2 linked regions of the Mus musculus genome follow. The protein of the gene in region 1 purifies or fractionates together with the protein of each later gene. This does not show direct contact. Links are inferred from orthologs where the notes say so. Each region holds a gene or a part of one and is shown in the gene's direction. Other genes may lie near its edges.

The links.
Region 2: the proteins of Sclt1 (region 1) and Kiz purify together in Homo sapiens (co-immunoprecipitation; 3 studies listed by BioGRID and IntAct, counting the BioPlex papers as one, with this or other methods). This does not show direct contact. The link is inferred for Mus musculus from reciprocal best matches to the Homo sapiens genes SCLT1 and KIZ.

What each region holds. Positions count from the first base shown.
Region 1 is NC_000069.6:41,739,540-41,743,855, reverse strand, and holds the start of Sclt1 (sodium channel and clathrin linker 1), read left to right. Parts: upstream 1-1,341; 5' UTR 1,342-1,827; coding exon 1,828-1,861; exon of another isoform or gene 1,862-1,902; intron 1,903-4,316. UniProt on the Homo sapiens protein: Adapter protein that links SCN10A to clathrin. Regulates SCN10A channel activity, possibly by promoting channel internalization.
Region 2 is NC_000068.7:146,862,126-146,865,944, forward strand, and holds part of Kiz (centrosomal protein kizuna), read left to right. Parts: intron 1-1,581; coding exon 1,582-1,744; intron 1,745-3,819. UniProt on the Homo sapiens protein: Centrosomal protein required for establishing a robust mitotic centrosome architecture that can endure the forces that converge on the centrosomes during spindle formation. Required for stabilizing the expanded pericentriolar material around the centriole.

The sequences.
Region 1 (4,316 bases):
TTTGCATGGCTAGTGCCAACACATACATATTTAGCAGCGACTCTTTTTAGAGGAATGAGGGTAACACTGTTGATACTGTTTTATGAGTACAAGATTACTAAACGTCTTCAACGGTTAAACAAAAAGCCAAACTTCATCCAGGGCATACATGCCTTTTGTTTTGTTTTTGTGTGTGTCCACGTGGGGGAGTACGTCTATAGCTGTGTATGGACTGAGCTTGAGGCAGAGTATCAGTGGGATGTCATTCTCAAAGGCTGTTCACCTTTTTTAACCTACCTTTATTTTCACCAGATATTATCAAACAGGAAAAAAAAATCTTATTAACATGCCTGATTTTACTTTTTGCGACAATGACTTACTGACTCTGGAGTCACTTTCAAATTTGTCTAGGCTGCTGGATAGAGAGCACCCTTTTCCCTCATCCTGTCTGCTCCTCTCAAGCACTACTATTAAAGGCCATTTAATCTTTAAATTAAAGGGGATTTGCTTGGCTTTTTATGTGGGTGCTGGGGAATTCCAGGCAAGCACTTCATAACCAAGCTATCTCAGGCCCTGAGCATATTTAAAGAAACTGTATTTCAATGCATAAAAATATAATCAATTAAAAGCCTCAAAAGCCAATGATAAACTTCAAGTGAGCATTTTTTTATCGCTAATGTCTTTTGCCCCCAATATTTTGTGTATGTTTTATGTTTCAAGCTTTACAGCTCAAATACTCATAATATCACTTCGTAAAACTGTGAACGGTAGTTTATGCCCCAGTACAAATTTCATTTTATTTTTGCAGAATTTTATCTTTCCTTAAATCCGAAGAAACATCTCTGAAATACCTGCTAGATTTGCAGGCTATCCTGGATCCTGACCAGGTGCCTTCTTGAAGCCACAGGGTTAAATATTGGACAATAGTTCTCTTTTCTAGGCACAAGAACCAGTTTCAGACCTAGGAGCGACAGCTCTAAACTGGGGGGCGGGGTGAGGGGACCTTGAGTCACCTCAGCCCGAGGACTCACAGACCTCTCTGCACAGACTCCCACAGACGCTTAGTGTCTGCAAAACCAAGACTCGGGGGTGGGCAATGAAAATCCCTACCTAGTTAGTGCCTGCTCCTATCACAGTTTCCATACAAAAAAAAAAAAATTAATTAAATTAAAAATGCGCCACACTACCTCAGACAGACACTCGCTGCGCCACTGCGGAAGGCGCCAAGCAACCCACTCAGCCCCCAACGCGGCCTCAGGGACCCGCCCACCGCCTGACAGATAGCCAATCACCTGCCTGCGCCTGAGACGGCGCAATGACGCCTACCGACGCACGCGTGATGACGGACGCGGCGTCACCGTCTCCAAGGAACGGTCTGGGGCACCGCTTTCAAAGTCGCAGGGCGGGCCGAGTGGACTCCGCGGCCGCTCCTGCTTTCCCGCGGCCCTGGCGTCGCCCCTCAGCCGGCGGGGACGCTGCCGCCCAGCCAGGCGCGTCGCAGGGTCATCCTCCCGCGCGGTCTGACGGGAACTCGGCGCCCTCCGGCCGCGCGCGGCTCCGCGGCCCTTCTCGTCCGGCCGGGTCCGGCCGAGCGCGGAACGGAGTCTGAGGCGCGTCGCCTGGGTTCCGCGGAGCGGCGGGCCGGGCTGCGCCGCCGCGTGAGTGGGATGCTGATGTCTCCGCGCCAGGGCTCGGCTGCCCCTGCGACCCCTTAGCTTTTTGTTTGCCCTCACAGCGGGAGGCTGCTTTTTTGTTGTTGTTCGATTGCTTGCTTGTTTGAGAAATACCTTCTTTCCCCCCTGCGAGGAATCGATAAACGTGATGAAAACTCCAAACTAAAATATCGAAATGGCCACAGAAATCGACTTACTGAGAGACCAAAGTAAGCGCGCTCTGTTCCCTGATGGAAAATTCATCTGTAAGGTGCAGTGTCGCTATCGTTGACCTACTAATGTGTTGTGAATGCTGGTCGGGTCCCAGCGTGAAAAATGTTAAAAACTTAAAAAGAAGTGCTCTGCACAAAATGCTTGGTGATGTACATGAGGCTATGTATGTACTTAACGAAGCTGAGACGCTAGTAAATACTTGTAGAATATTCCTTGAGCGTGCACTGGAGTCGGCCAGGCACGAAATAGATTTGTAATGCAATGCGTCTGTTGTGCTCGAAGAAACTGGAGGGCTGATGGCCAGGAAGAGTTTCCAAGCCTGCAGGTTAGGACCTCCAGGCATTGCTCAGGTCGTTAGTTTAAAAGATGTTGACCTATGTTTCATTACGTGCCAGGTGCTATACATGTAGCTGATGTAAGGAGATTCTTGTTCTCCAAGCATGTAGCTGGCAGAAGGAGATACATAAATACCAAAAATACACTGAAGCAGCAGCAACTGCCGACTCGTTTGCATCAGATTCCAAGTAGTTGATGGAATTATTGAGCAAACATTGAAATAGCATCTACTAACATGGAGCTAAACAAATATTGACTATTATGCGGTTATTAAACTACTTCCAGAGGAGATGCCATTTGGACAGAATCTTGACATACCACTATGTGTTTACTGATAAGAAAGGTTTAGGTGTCCAAATTATTGGCAACATTGAGGAATTGGTAGTAATGCTTTGTTTAAAAACAAGACAGTTGCCTTGAACACTACATAGAGGTTTATAGAGGAGTACAGTTCGTTAGCTGCAGTTGTAATCATAGGTAAGAAGGATACCTATAGGACCTAAGGAAGATGTAGAGATTGAAGGCTGAGAGATTTGAAAGAGAAAGAGAGAAACTCAGGTATTTTCTTGAGCTACAGAGAAGGTTGGGGAAACATGCTGAACTCTACATTGAGACCAGAAGTAAGGACATACTCTTTAGATTTGTTTCTGTACATATATTGCCTAGCTCTCACATTTTACAAGTTTGATCTTGGTCAAAATTCTTAGCTTCTCTGTGCCTATGGTTAATACATGTTAAATGCTCTGCTCCCCCACCCCCATACACACTATTTATAGTGTTGTGGGATATATGCATACATATGTATACGTTCCATGTGTGTGTGTGTTGACATTACAATAGCATTATTTCTTAAGCAAATGAGTAGGAAAAACCTCCCTCACTCTATAAAGATGGATAGATCACAATCTGAGTGATCATCGTAAATGAGTTTTGCTTGGTGGAGAGACACCTGAATTTTAGAAGATGAGTTTTAGAAGAATAAAGCAACTGTAATTCTTAAATAAAAATTGAGTCCCAAATCTGAGCAAGCCCAAGTAAGAGAATTTATTTTAATTGAAAACTGAATTGTAAGTCAGTAAAACACAAGGGAGAATGGAAGAAGAGATTCCCACATAGAAGCATCAGAGCTCAAGGGCTTGAAAGGTCAGGAAATGGAAGCATGGAATTTTAAGGTTTGTATGAAGAGCTAAGAATGAGTGTTAGGAATCTGTGAGCTTTTTCTGTTACTAGAACTTGTATGCTAGTTAAAGATGGGGGTTGTCCCACTAGCCATACCACCTACCACTGTTGAGATAAAGATGACTCTCCATCCTTCCATTTGCCTCTCATACTCTCTACTGATTGATTGATTGATTGTTCATTTGTTTTTTTCAAGCATTGTTTCTCTGTTTAACAGTTCCGAGTGTTCTGGAACTAGATTTTTAGACTACACTGGCCTTGAACACTGCTCCTTCTGCCTCAAGAATGTTGAGATTAAAGGCGTGTGCCACCATACCCAGCCTTCTACATTGACTAAAGTGGATCTTAATTTCTTCTCACTGGATTAATTTGGTTTTTGTTTTTTTTGGTTTTTGTATGTTTATTTTGTTTTGAGAAGACCTGGCCTTAGATTCTCTCAATAGCCTAGGTTAGCTTCAAACTCATAACACATAAAGTAAATCTTTAACATTTTCAAAAGTCCATTAAGAATATGTCTTCATGTCTTCAGGGTACAGGAGGATTTCCTTTGTAGATTTGACTTTTATTAAAAGAAAATGGTATGTTAATAAACTTGAGTATTGCATGATACTGCCAATGTCTCCAACATTTACAGAAGCAACTGGTTAATGCATTTGCATATTTATGTGTGTTTGTTTATAACATAAATTTAAAAAAGAAAACAAGCGTCATGGCAAAGTGAAACGTTCTTGTAATATATACAATTTAAGTCCAGAAATGGGAATGGCGAGAACCTCAAAAAATTTATAACCACTCCCTCTTCCTCAAAGATAGTGAAATATAATCACTATCTTTAATGTTATACCTTAATTTAGTTTTTTCAATATTTAGTTTTAAAAAGTAAGATCATGACCTATTTATTCTTCTGTGCTTCATCATTTATAATACTTTGAAGTT
Region 2 (3,819 bases), on another chromosome or scaffold:
CCTCCATTACTGTCATTTGGGTCAAAAATGAAGATATGGGCATCAGGGGAAACAGTGGTAGATTGTATTATCCAGAAGGAAAACTGAAGTCAGCCAACCACAGCTAAAGCACAGTGTCATTAGCATGATAAAAACCTTCTGGGCTGGGGAGATGTCTTAGTGAGTAAGTCCTGGCCATGCAAGCCTAAGGTATTAAGTCCAGATCCTTAGAGTGCACATAAATCCAGACATGGTGGTGCATGTCTGGAATCCCACATGGAGACGGTAGGCAGAAAGCAGACCATTTCAGGAATTTGTGAGCCAACTAGTCTGGTATATGCAGTGGTGGACAGCTAGAGTCCCTGTCTCAAACAAGATGGAAGGTGAGGAACTGGCACCTGAGGCTGCCCTCTGACTTACACTGGAAAACACACTCACACATAACTCCCTCCCCAGAGATAGGGGGGGATTTCTTAAAACTTGTTAGCCTAGAGTTAGATATTTAAGGTCTATTGTTGATTAATTTTAGAAATTTCTCTCATCTCCAAAAATTTGCTGGGAAGGTAAATATATATGTGAGTGAGAGAATATAAAATATCTTACTGTACCAATACTATAAATGCTCCATAATAGGTGTCCTTTAGGGTTCAGGTAGTTATGAAGAAGGACGAAAATTAGCATATTGGTCTAAGAAGAGAAGGTTGTGTACTTTGAGCTCTCTAGTATGCCTTTTAGTATTACAACTGGATAAGAATCTCCAAAGATTTTCTCAGAGTTGATATATTATTACAAAATATTTCAGTAGTATGTTTGTTGCAGTGTCTACTACATTTTTACATTATTTAAATGATAGTTTTTTGTATTTTAGATTTTCAATTTTCTTAATTTTTTGGACTACCAGTTTATAGTTTCATTTTATATAAACAATTAATTTAAAAATTGGTTGTCATATAAAAACTGCCCATAGGCTATGTATGCCTCTGAATATGGCCAAAGAGACACTACTCTTTAGTCCATATTTCAGTTTAAGAAATACATTTAGAACTGGGCATGGTGCTTCACACCTTCAATCCCAGCATTCCCAGGAGGCAGAGACAGATGGCCAGGCTGGTCTATAGAGAGAGTTCTGGGACAGCTAGGGGGCTTCACAGAGAAGTCTTGTGTAAAAGAACAAAGTAAAGCAGACAAAATAAGAAAGAAAGGAATCCAACCCATGTGTCTGGGAATGCTGCAGTGGGGCAGGGTACTGCACACCTGTAATCTGTACACTGGGGAAGCCAAGGAAGGAGGGTTGCAAGTTCCAGCCCATCCCAGGCTGTACAGTGAGACTTGTCTCAACAGTACATGAATCTCTACTGTGTTACCAAATGGTATTGTATGCATTTCTCAGGGGAGGTATGGGAATCTGTGACCAATGCTATACAATAGTGAGAACTATTTGAATTTTCTTTCTCTAAACTACATATGCATTCTATTTATTGGACTTTGAGTAAATTTCTTAGATTTTTAATCGTCTCATTAACACTTTTGTTAAAGAAAACTGTTCTTAAGTTTGTTTGAATTCTGTTATTAAGGCTCTACTTTTTTTTTTTTTTTTTAAAGAGCTAAGCTGAAATGTGCAAAACTAAAGAAATACCTGAAGGAAGTATGTGAGTCTGAGAGGAGGGCTCAGGTTCGAAACCAAGGATATTTAAAGAAGTTTGAATGTGTCCAGACGTATGTTGAACACTTGACCACAAATACAGAGAAGCTTCAAAAACTGAAGGTAACATTTTGTTTTCTGCTCTGTGTTTTGAAAAGCTTTTCCAGATGAGTGGCAGGCACCACTTCCAGTTGTCTGAATAGGGTTATTTGTTGGTAGAATGTGTGAATTTAAGCATCATTAAGTTCCTTTTTGAAACCAATTCCCTCTTTATAGTGAGTCCTTGGGTTTGTTTGTTCTCTTTGGTCTGGGCTGCTCTCTTCAGGGCAGGAGTCCATTAGGGGTGGGGAGCACTGAGGGAAGACATGTCCCTGGGATATCACCTTCCTGCTTCTGGGCTCTGGGGTGCAATGACTGCTGTTGGAGACTCCCTTTCATTCTGGTCCTTAGTCCTTTCCACGCATGCTTGTGTGACCTTTGCAGCTTACTCCATCTGGAGGGCCAGATGCTGGGACTTCTTGCTTGCTGTCTGTAATGATAAGGGTCATAGTTCAGGTTAACCCAACAGAGCACTCAAAAAAGGTGGTTTGAGTGGGATTTTCTTTGTGCTTTATCAGTTTTTCCCTAGCCTAACTGTATTGCAAAATATTCAAATTTATAGAAAAATGAAAGGACTTATTCTAATGGACACTGTCTCCACTCGATACAGCAGTTATAAGTATGTGTCAGTATTTGCTTTGTGTACACATGTGGGGTTTTCTTTCTAAGTAGTTTCCTGTTCCTATCATGACACTTCTCTCCTAAGCTCTTAAGCACAAGGGTAGTGTCTTTTATAATTAGACTCATGTTATCATCCTTAAAATTAACTAATCTACAGTGTCATTTAATATTTAGCTCATACTCAGATTTTTCCAGTTCCCCTAAAAAGCCAACCCACTAGAGTTTATATATTATTTGAGATATATATTGTTATCATCATGATCCTTTAAAGTCTATTTTAGTCTAATTTCAAATTTTTGAAAAACTATAAGATGTTTATTTGTGGATTTAGAAAAGAACATAATAGACAAGCATAAAAATCATGATAGGACATCAGTAAATCACTTCTACACAGTGAAGTAAGAAACATACGTGCACATTTTACTAGCATGAACAATTGTATTAATGACCATCACACACAGGTATGGCAACTACCAATAGACAAACCAATTCATAATGGAATTAGATCAAAAAAAGTAGAAAAAAATAACTGTGGCTTGTGACTGCTTTGAGCTCTTTTTACTTTCTTAATACTGATTTTTAATTAGGTATATGTGGGACTTGGTCTGTGTGTGGGTTTGTGCATGGAGGTGGAGGAGACAAGAGACATTGGATCTCCAGGGCTGGAGTCACAGCTACTTGTGATTCTCTCAAAGTAGGTTGTGGGAATCTGTGTCCTCTGCAGGGACAGTACCCACTGCTAACCACTGAGCCATCTCTCTAGCCTTGTGACTGATCTTCTAGGTGACTGTGATAGTCAGTCTAAGCACTGGGAAGAGATCCCTTAGGAATCATTGTGGGTGACCTTGAACAGAGAGTGTTCAGAAAGCAAGAATCTCAAGGAACTGGGCTCTTCACAGACGCCCGTGTACAGAAGGCTGTCCCTTCCTTTATTAAGAGGATCTCAGTGTTTCTGTGTGTGCAGAAGGCTGTCCCTTCCTTTATTAAGAGGATCTGTGTTTCTGTGTGTGCAGAATGCCTGTGCACATGGTAGGGCTCTGACAATGCATTTGAGGAGTCAGGCTTTTCTCATAAAGTGGAGAAAAATATACAGGGGCATTGTTCATATGCTGATGTACAGGAATCCTGATGGCAGACCCTGAGAAAAGAGAATTGAGTATAAGCCAGCTGCTCCAGAAGTTAGCCATAATGTAAGAAATAAGGGCGGGGGAGACTGCCTAGTGAAAGAAAACATATTCTAGCAATTTTGTAGTTTACAAAACACAACTATAGAATTCTCCTTGCTTGGGTTTTGTTTTATCATATCATACATTTACCACAATTTAGGTTGAAGTCCCTGGAATATATTTTGTTTCACTAATCTCAGATGTTTTGTTTTCTTTTTTTCAATGACATTAGTTATTTTGAGGAAGTCAGCCAATTGCTTGTCACTTAGAATTTGAGTTATCGTTTCCTGGTCCAGAATTTGCCCTCACCTC